2 linked regions of the Oreochromis niloticus genome follow. The main gene of each other region encodes a partner of the protein of the gene in region 2 in a complex. Links are inferred from orthologs where the notes say so. Each region holds a gene or a part of one and is shown on either strand. Other genes may lie near its edges.

Region 1 (3,922 bases), on a different chromosome or scaffold from region 2:
CGTCATTAAAGATATATACAAAGGTTGTGTAACTTATTGCTCTGGAACAGAAACACTTACTGAAAATACTTCTTAAGCCTTCCCATCAGTTATCATGAATAACCAACAAGCAGCACATTTCATATGTAAAATGCTGAGGAGACATCAGGCAGCCTCTTCAGTCTTCTACTGGAGCATGGATCTGTGAAGAGACAAAATATCAGGACAAACCTGCAAATATCTGAAAACATTTCTGTCTGTGTCTTTTGTATTTTCATCAGTTGAATTAAACACGGTTCCTCCACCAAAGAGAATGAGCCTCAACTGAGGTTTTCAGTGCAGTGTAATTTGAGTTTACAAGAAAACATCCAGATTGATTTTCATGAAACCCGGTGAACATGTTCTGAATTGCCACAGAAGGAAATGTAATATAGATCCAGGAAATAACTGGTAATTAACTCAGAATAGCAGCTTCAAGCAACAACTAGCACGACATGCTTAATTTCTTGTAGGATGTGATTAAAGGTGACTGAATGGTATATGACCCTGCTCCAAAATACAGCCAAGGGTATCTCAAGCTTGTTTGGGTCATATTTCACCAAAAAAAATGCAAATTATTTATGTTAAATGTGATAAATATTAATTACTAGGAGACAAAGATTGGTTTGGTCTTGGATTAATGGATCCAAGAGGGAAAAAAAACAACTCACTGCCTCAGCCAAATCAGGCCAATCCATTGCCATCACAATAGTATCGTCTGAATTAGGAGGTGTTTCCAGGTTCCAGTAGGTCATTTTGTCAAATACAGAGGATACTTTCACTGTCCTGTCCTGAAAACACACATAAACACAAGTTACAAAACCCTCATCTACACATCTGATTTTATGAAATAGTGCTTTGACCCACAACTCCAGTGGTGTTTACCTCCTGGTCTGAGCCGGGTTTGTTGATCTCTTTCAGCACCAGCCCCGTGTAGCCCTGTGGACAGCTGATCTTCTGCCCCTTTAACCCACGTCCCCTGAATGACACCGACTTATCTGCAATGTGAAAGGAAAAAACAAAACAAAGCATTGAGGATTCTTGATGTGTGCTGTGTAATGCGTAATTTTCTTTCCTAAAGCACCTACTGATCGCCTCCAGTCTGTCTAAAATGATCCTGTAAGGCTTTAACTCTCATAAGTGTTCGCATACCATCCCACTTTTAAAGTTTTTGAATTGTTTAATTGGTTCTCACTTTTTTTACTATAAAACTAAACTTTCATTACTTACTTAAGTGTTAAACAGCAACTCATTTTAACTAAAAATTCCTGAGAATTATTAAAATCCATTCCACTTTTACCCCCAAAACGAATTAATCATATCAGAAACAGCGAAAAATAGTTTAAAACCAGGATACTGGCAGCTGTTTGCTTTATTTACACATTTAGCGATCTTATATGTCTACATTTTATCTAACCGCTGTGGATTAATCCATATTATCAGATATGAAAAGATTTTGTGTTTACCTTGTTTCTGGTCTTTGGTGGTAGCAGTGAAGTATTGGTTGACCTGTGCTGGCCCATTGTGTTCAATCTCACATGGCATGAGGTGGACTGGAGCTTGCGGTGCCTGTCCCACTGATGATGCACAAAGACGAATAACACTGGAATTACAGGACATCCTGCAGCCAGGAGACAGGAGAAAAAAGAAAGTACATTTTTAGTTTTTAATTTAACCTCAGTCTCTTTTATCAAAGGCAGTTTGTTTACCAGACTAAAAAAAAAAAGGAAAACAAATTGTATGTGTGACAAACTGAGCCACAAAGTTCAGCCTTTAATCTGAATGTTTTTCTGCAATTAAAATAATTTTTCAACTGCAGATGTCACTATAGGTTCACAATAATAGCTTTTTTTGAGCTCTTATGTTTAGCACACCAGTGTACTCAAAAATAAAACAAACAATGAATCATCTGCAATTGATTCAGAACTCATGGTGACTTTAATGTTACTCCACCTGTTTACAGCTTTTTGTGTTGTTCTGCCAGCCTACCTGTCTGACTACCAGTCAACCATAACTGTCTGTCAGACCTTCAGCTATGTAATCCATGCGTCACAGCACAGGATGAAACCTTTTGGTGACCAGCTTTCAGTCTGCCTGAGTATCTGAGAGCAGCCAAAAGTAATACTTATTTTAAAACAATTTTTTTTTTTCTGGCTTTTGGTGATAATACTTATTTGTTGATCTCCATTGTTCATACACAGAATACGACATACTCAAAGTGAGCACATGCATGTTTTCCAAAGAATCCCAGAGAAAAAAAATTAATTCCTATTAAAGACCATACAACATGCTATAAAAGTCTTACATTTATTTGAAAGACATATATCTATACCCTTACGTTTCTGCAGTTTTCCAAACGTGAAACGTTAAACGGGATCTTTTCCGGTAAACAGCAAACACAGCTTCTGATTGGGCAAAACCTTCTTCTTCTACGCTAGAAGTTATTTTGGCGGGTTTTTTCTGCTCAGCCCCAGAATAGCGCCTCCTCCCGGTGAAGCTCGATCACAACGATTTTCTACGGCTTGTAGCTTTTGTGTTTACAATAACACCCTTGAACTGCGATCACACTCACACCTCTAGACATGAGATACTTTGATAAGAGATCTCAATGTTTCATTTAATTATTATTTTAATAGATAGATAGATAGATAGATAGATAGATAGATAGAGATATATATATATGTTAAAATAAGAGACAAAGACAAGACAACACAAAACAGTCTTGAAATGGACTAACAGATAAAGAGGAAGACAGGAGTGTGAGCATGAGAGTGATACAGAGTCTGTTAGAAACATGAATACTAACACTTAACTGAATATCAGAGGCAAAGGAACAAAAGGGGGACCAAGGCATTAAAACAGAAAATACACAGAGGGTGATACAAATAGAAACACTGGGGAGACTATTATCACTACCAGTAATAATGCTATTAAAAAGACATGAAGCAGAACACAAGATAACACAAAACTGAAACAAAAAACCCCTGGGGACGACAACGAAACAAAATAGATCAACAATAAATGATCAGTTCAGCAAACAGTTTGATATGATTATCAGTTTCTGCTGGACATAAAACTAATACACAGTTCAGAATATTAGACCTCATGGAGCGGATTAGATAATGAGTTAGCATTTGTTACACTATGGATTCGAACACTGAATATGGACAAATATGTGAGTTTGTAGGCATTATTTCAAGCAGCATCACTAAATAATCTCACATGTCATAGGACACTTTGGAATGTCTCGTACATTCTGAGTATTTTGATGACGTATGTCGCAGTGTTACTGCAGTCTTGTTCAGTTCTGAGAACTCTGCTACAGTTGGCAGCAGCATCTGTCTTAGTGTGGGATGGACTAAATCCTGTCCAATGTGAGCCCGAGAGCCACTAAGGAGAAGTTTCCTGGGGGAGTTTTGCTCATATTGCATAAAATCTGTGTCAAGCCTCCACTGAGGAGACTTCAGGGAAAGAAGAAGACGTTTCCTAACAGCTCACAATTAGCCAGCACAAGCAAGAGGTGAGTTTTTATAGCAGGACAGATAACTGTTGCAGGCATGTTGCATGGGATCCTTTTTTTTCTTGAATACTTTATCAGGATTCACATGAAGAGAAAGTTTTAACTCCCTTCTTCTTTTATGATTTACAGTGTTGTGTAAAATTCTTGAGCTACCCCTCATTTCTTTATATTTAACTTCCAAGGAGCCAAATGTTCTTTTCTGGAGGTTTTTCAAAGTTTTTCAGTCCAGTCTTTATACCTAACCATTTTCAGAGGAATATTACTTTTTTATTGATCCACTTAACACTGGCATATAAATCATTCAAGCATAAAACACTTTACTTTAAATTGTATTTTTAGACACAACCTACGTAAAAAAAACCAAACACATATTTTGATACCATT
Region 2 (3,922 bases):
AGTGTGCATGAATGATGGTAACAAACCTCCAAGTGCATGGCGCTGTATGCCCAAATTACCTCCGTAACATGCAGGTAGAGATGGTGTTTGGCGACAGAATCTGCAGAGCCCACCCAACATAACTCTTAGCTTCAACCAGTTTTTCAAAAAGATTCTCTCTTTCTGCCTCTGTCAGGGTCTTTGAATCTAAAAGAAAAGCAAATAATCACTGAAGACACAATGACAAATTGTATTTTCAAATGTGGAAAGGAAAACGCTGGGGGGCTTTTTATGCTCATTTATTTTCTGGTGACATTTTTAGCTACTGAAACAAAGTAAATAATGATTAGCAAGCTTCATACTTTTCTTTCTTTTTTTTTGTTTAATTGTCCGGGAGGACAGCAGTGATAATGAGTTTAAAGCATTATATTCATAAAGTATGCTGCGCTTTTCTCAGTTTAAATACAGCAATACAAGCAAACTGGTTTACCTGCTACTTTCATGTCCTTCAGCTCCTCCTTTTTGGAAAGTGGACAGAAACATATCCCATACACCATTGGCCCTGCATCACAAGTAACATCAAAACTGTTAGATTTCTCTACTAAATGTACATACTAATTCACCCAAAACCCAAATGGCAAATAACAGGGAGATGACAAACATCAATATCAGCTCATAGCTACATGGTTGGCTCCTATCAACAAATAACATGAAATTTACCAAAGGTACCAAAGGTCTTCTGTCAAAATTTTCCACTGCCTTAATGTTTAAGGACAGTGAGGTGATCAGAAAATCTGATGGTTTTTAACCATTAAAAATTTTCTCCTTTTTCTAGCAAATAAGGGATATTAATAGCAAATAAATTAAAAACAAACATTAAAAAAAGCACTGGACAAACTGTTCTTTAACACTGGTATTAGACCAGAATTTCACATTCTGTGTATCCAGACCAGTAAACAAAATTATTAAATTTCAAAATAAGTTGTAGGATAAAATTTCAAAACATGTTATGAAGCTTTTTAATTAATTTTCAATTAAAGGTTACAATTTGTCATATTTGGCAAACATTTAATTTAGTTAAGTGCAATTTTAACACTATGTTTCAGCATAACTTTACATACATAGTTTGCACTCTGTGTTTCAAATATAGAAGAACCTCGAGTGGTTAGCTTAGAGTAAGTAAAAGTCACGTACCCAGCACAGGCCCCCTGCCAGCCTCATCAATGCCAAGACAACAATCCTCCGTTTTGCAGACTTCAGGGATCTCAGAAACCAGCCGGCAGCTGACGGAGTTGTCAGCTTCAAAGGGGCTGAGGTCCATGATTGATGGCTGAAAGAACATGCAAAATTAAATTAAATTTAAAGCTGATTTTTGTCTTAGTGAGTCACAAAGTAAGGCATGTATCTATTACTTTACTTACTTTAAACTTCTGTAACAGGTGCCCCTGATAAATACCCTCCAAACTTTAATTAAAAAGACTAAAACCAAATAAATAAATATAAGAATCAAATCCACTACGAAAATAACCGAAGCCTAACTGAAGAGAAAACAAATACTGAAAACTAAAGGGAAAAAAAGAATCAGAAAATGTAAAACTCTTTAAATGAATTCTTTCAACTCAGAAAAACTGCAAAGACACACTTAATAACTTAATAATTTTGCTGAAGAAGAGGCATCATTTAATGCCCTGTATAGCATCTAAATCAGGTGTGTCAGGGCACACAGTGGGGTGTTAATGTTTCGACAGCATTGACTGATGGGACCATACATTTGTGCAAACTTAAATAAAGTGTGCAAAAAAAAAAAAAAAACCACACGCTTTAGGATCAGGTTAAAAGTTGCAGTGCATAAAATCTCACTGCTAGTAAGACTGCAGTAAACTGAATTTTGTTTTCTTACTTCTCTCTATTCAAGTTGATATCCTAGCTAAGGTGGCTGTTGAAGGACAAACAAGTTTTAGTCAGCCAAGAGAAACCAACAACATTAAATTTAGACTGTACCCCACAAGGGTCGCAGCTGGCTGGCAGGTTTCTACTACTGTTTAAAAAAATAAAAATAAAGAGAAAAAAAAATTCTACACACTATATTTAAGAATATTTTAATATCAATATTTAGCAAGAAATCAGGAAAAAAAAAACCTGATATGTAAGGTGGGTAAGAAAAACAACGAAATACAGAACATTGTTTTTCTTACCTACCTTACAGGAGGAGAATAACAGCTCTACCCAGACTGAGCTCCTGAGAGGAGAGCAAATGATGTTGTGTGAATCTGTGGGTGTGTGTAAGGGACTTTGTGAAGGGAGATGTAAGATCCCAGGGTGCGATGGTACTCTAAAAGTCAAATGACAGAAATGTGAGATCCAGCTCTGACTCACTAAGTTATACACATTCAGACACAATGAAACACACACAGACCTACAATCGGACATAGACTAACCACACACAGTTATTCCGTTGTTGGATTAAATGATTGTATGACAATTAACTTTTAAAGAAATTGCTTCTTTTCTCCTACATTTACTGCATATATAGAGAAAATCGCCACATTTCGGATCCTTACAACTTTAGAGAACGGATATTTTTTACGGGGATTTTATCAACGGAAAAGGTGCATTTCAGAAGAAATATGAAATGCTCTGTTATTATCCGTGTGGCTGCTGTGAGCTTAAACGTTAGCTAAATGCTACGCGACACTCAAACGGACAGTTTTAACCAGCTCGCCCTTGAGATTTGTGTTTAAGTCATTAGTCTAGGCTGCTGGGAGAAAATGCCAAAGTAGCACACATCGTCATAAACACAAGCAAAGTTTATGCTGACCTGCTCAGATGATGAAAACAGCCCAAACTTCACCTGACGAGTATTTCTGTGTGTACCGTGCAGCAGATTTGGCGCCCCTGGACTGACGTCATCATCGGTTCTTCTTCTCTCGTGTTTGATGGCAGTTCTAATTCTCTAGAGTTGTATTACTGCCACCCCCAGTTTTTTAGTCTATCATTTCAGTCTTTTCTTCCCCCGTACTGATTTTCTATAGAGGGCCGCAAGTGCCAAAATTAGTTAAATAAATACATTATTAAATAATCAAATAAAAGTGTCATTAATTAATTAAATAATAATAAATTATAAATTGTATAAATTGTATCCAAGTGCCAAGGACTTGACTCATCCAAGTGACTGAAGAAGTCACTTGGATGAGTGACGAAACGTTTCTCCCACAAAACGCTACGTCCAGATGAACAGATTCAACTTTTGGAGATTTACTTTCCTGGATGATTGAGAATGCATCAAGACATCTAATAATCTTTATTCTTGCATCATTCCAGCACAAAGACCAAACATGCTGTTTCTCTTTCTGAGCCAGTAACCCTATAATATTCCCTATAGTGAAATGTTGTATAAACTAGTGTACTATTCTTTGAGTCAGAATGAACGTTTGTTATACAGATACAAAGGTCTCATTGACATTAGAGATGCCTTTTTAAAGAGAGATCTGGCCTAGAGGACATCAGAAATTGCAACTAAACCTGTTAAGAGGCTAAAAAGGACTTGACTGATTACAACAAGTACAATGATGCAGAGTCCTAAAGACACTTGCAAAACAGATCATTTCATTATTTACTATATAGGCCCATTAATATATCCTGTTGACTACAACCTATTTACCAATATAAGAAAAGATATTAGACCTTAAAAGCACAGAGAAACATCAGAAATCACATTTTGGCACAACATCGACAGACTCTTGTTCTTTAGAGTTCCGTGGCAGTTGGCATCATTTAGAGTTGCATTACTTCCTCCTTCTGAACTGAATACACTGCCATCCACAGTATTTGTAAGGCCAGTTGCTTTCAAGCACCCACTAATTGAGTTTCTTTCCTCTACTGAATCTGTACAGCTTTATTTTTAACCCTAGCCAATCCTTGCACATACATAACTTTTTTTCTG

What was found.
Region 1: the proteins of rnaseh2a (region 2) and rnaseh2c are in contact, whole or in part, in a crystal structure (PDB 3PUF), measured with the Homo sapiens proteins. The link is inferred for Oreochromis niloticus from reciprocal best matches to the Homo sapiens genes RNASEH2A and RNASEH2C. Residues at the interface, in NP_006388.2 of Homo sapiens: Thr11, Asn99, Ser102, Thr103, Leu106, Gly107, Arg108, Val109, Val196, Glu197, Lys198, Leu199, Glu225, Pro226, Val227, Phe228, Gly229, Phe230, Pro231, Gln232, Phe236, Leu245, Ala249, Glu250, Asp251, Val252, Ile253, Trp254, Glu255, Asp256; in NP_115569.2 of Homo sapiens: Pro33, Cys34, Glu35, Val36, Ala37, Val38, Ala42, Pro43, Val44, Gly45, Arg46, Phe47, Phe48, Pro50, Ala51, Arg53, Ser62, Phe63, Arg64, Gly65, Arg66, Cys67, Leu68, Leu134, Glu135, Thr136, Lys143, Gly146, Ala147, Thr149.

The regions. Positions count from the first base shown.
Region 1 is NC_031966.2:20,693,417-20,697,338, reverse strand, and holds the start of rnaseh2c (ribonuclease H2 subunit C), read right to left. Parts: upstream 2,404-3,922; 5' UTR 2,326-2,403; coding exon 2,324-2,325; intron 1,640-2,323; coding exon 1,485-1,639; intron 1,017-1,484; coding exon 904-1,016; intron 810-903; coding exon 690-809; intron 182-689; coding exon 158-181; 3' UTR 1-157.
Region 2 is NC_031971.2:24,437,693-24,441,614, reverse strand, and holds the start of rnaseh2a (ribonuclease H2 subunit A), read right to left. Parts: upstream 2,954-3,922; 5' UTR 2,798-2,953; intron 1,310-2,797; 5' UTR 1,301-1,309; coding exon 1,174-1,300; intron 542-1,173; coding exon 470-541; intron 187-469; coding exon 60-186; intron 1-59. UniProt on the Homo sapiens protein: Catalytic subunit of RNase HII, an endonuclease that specifically degrades the RNA of RNA:DNA hybrids. Participates in DNA replication, possibly by mediating the removal of lagging-strand Okazaki fragment RNA primers during DNA replication.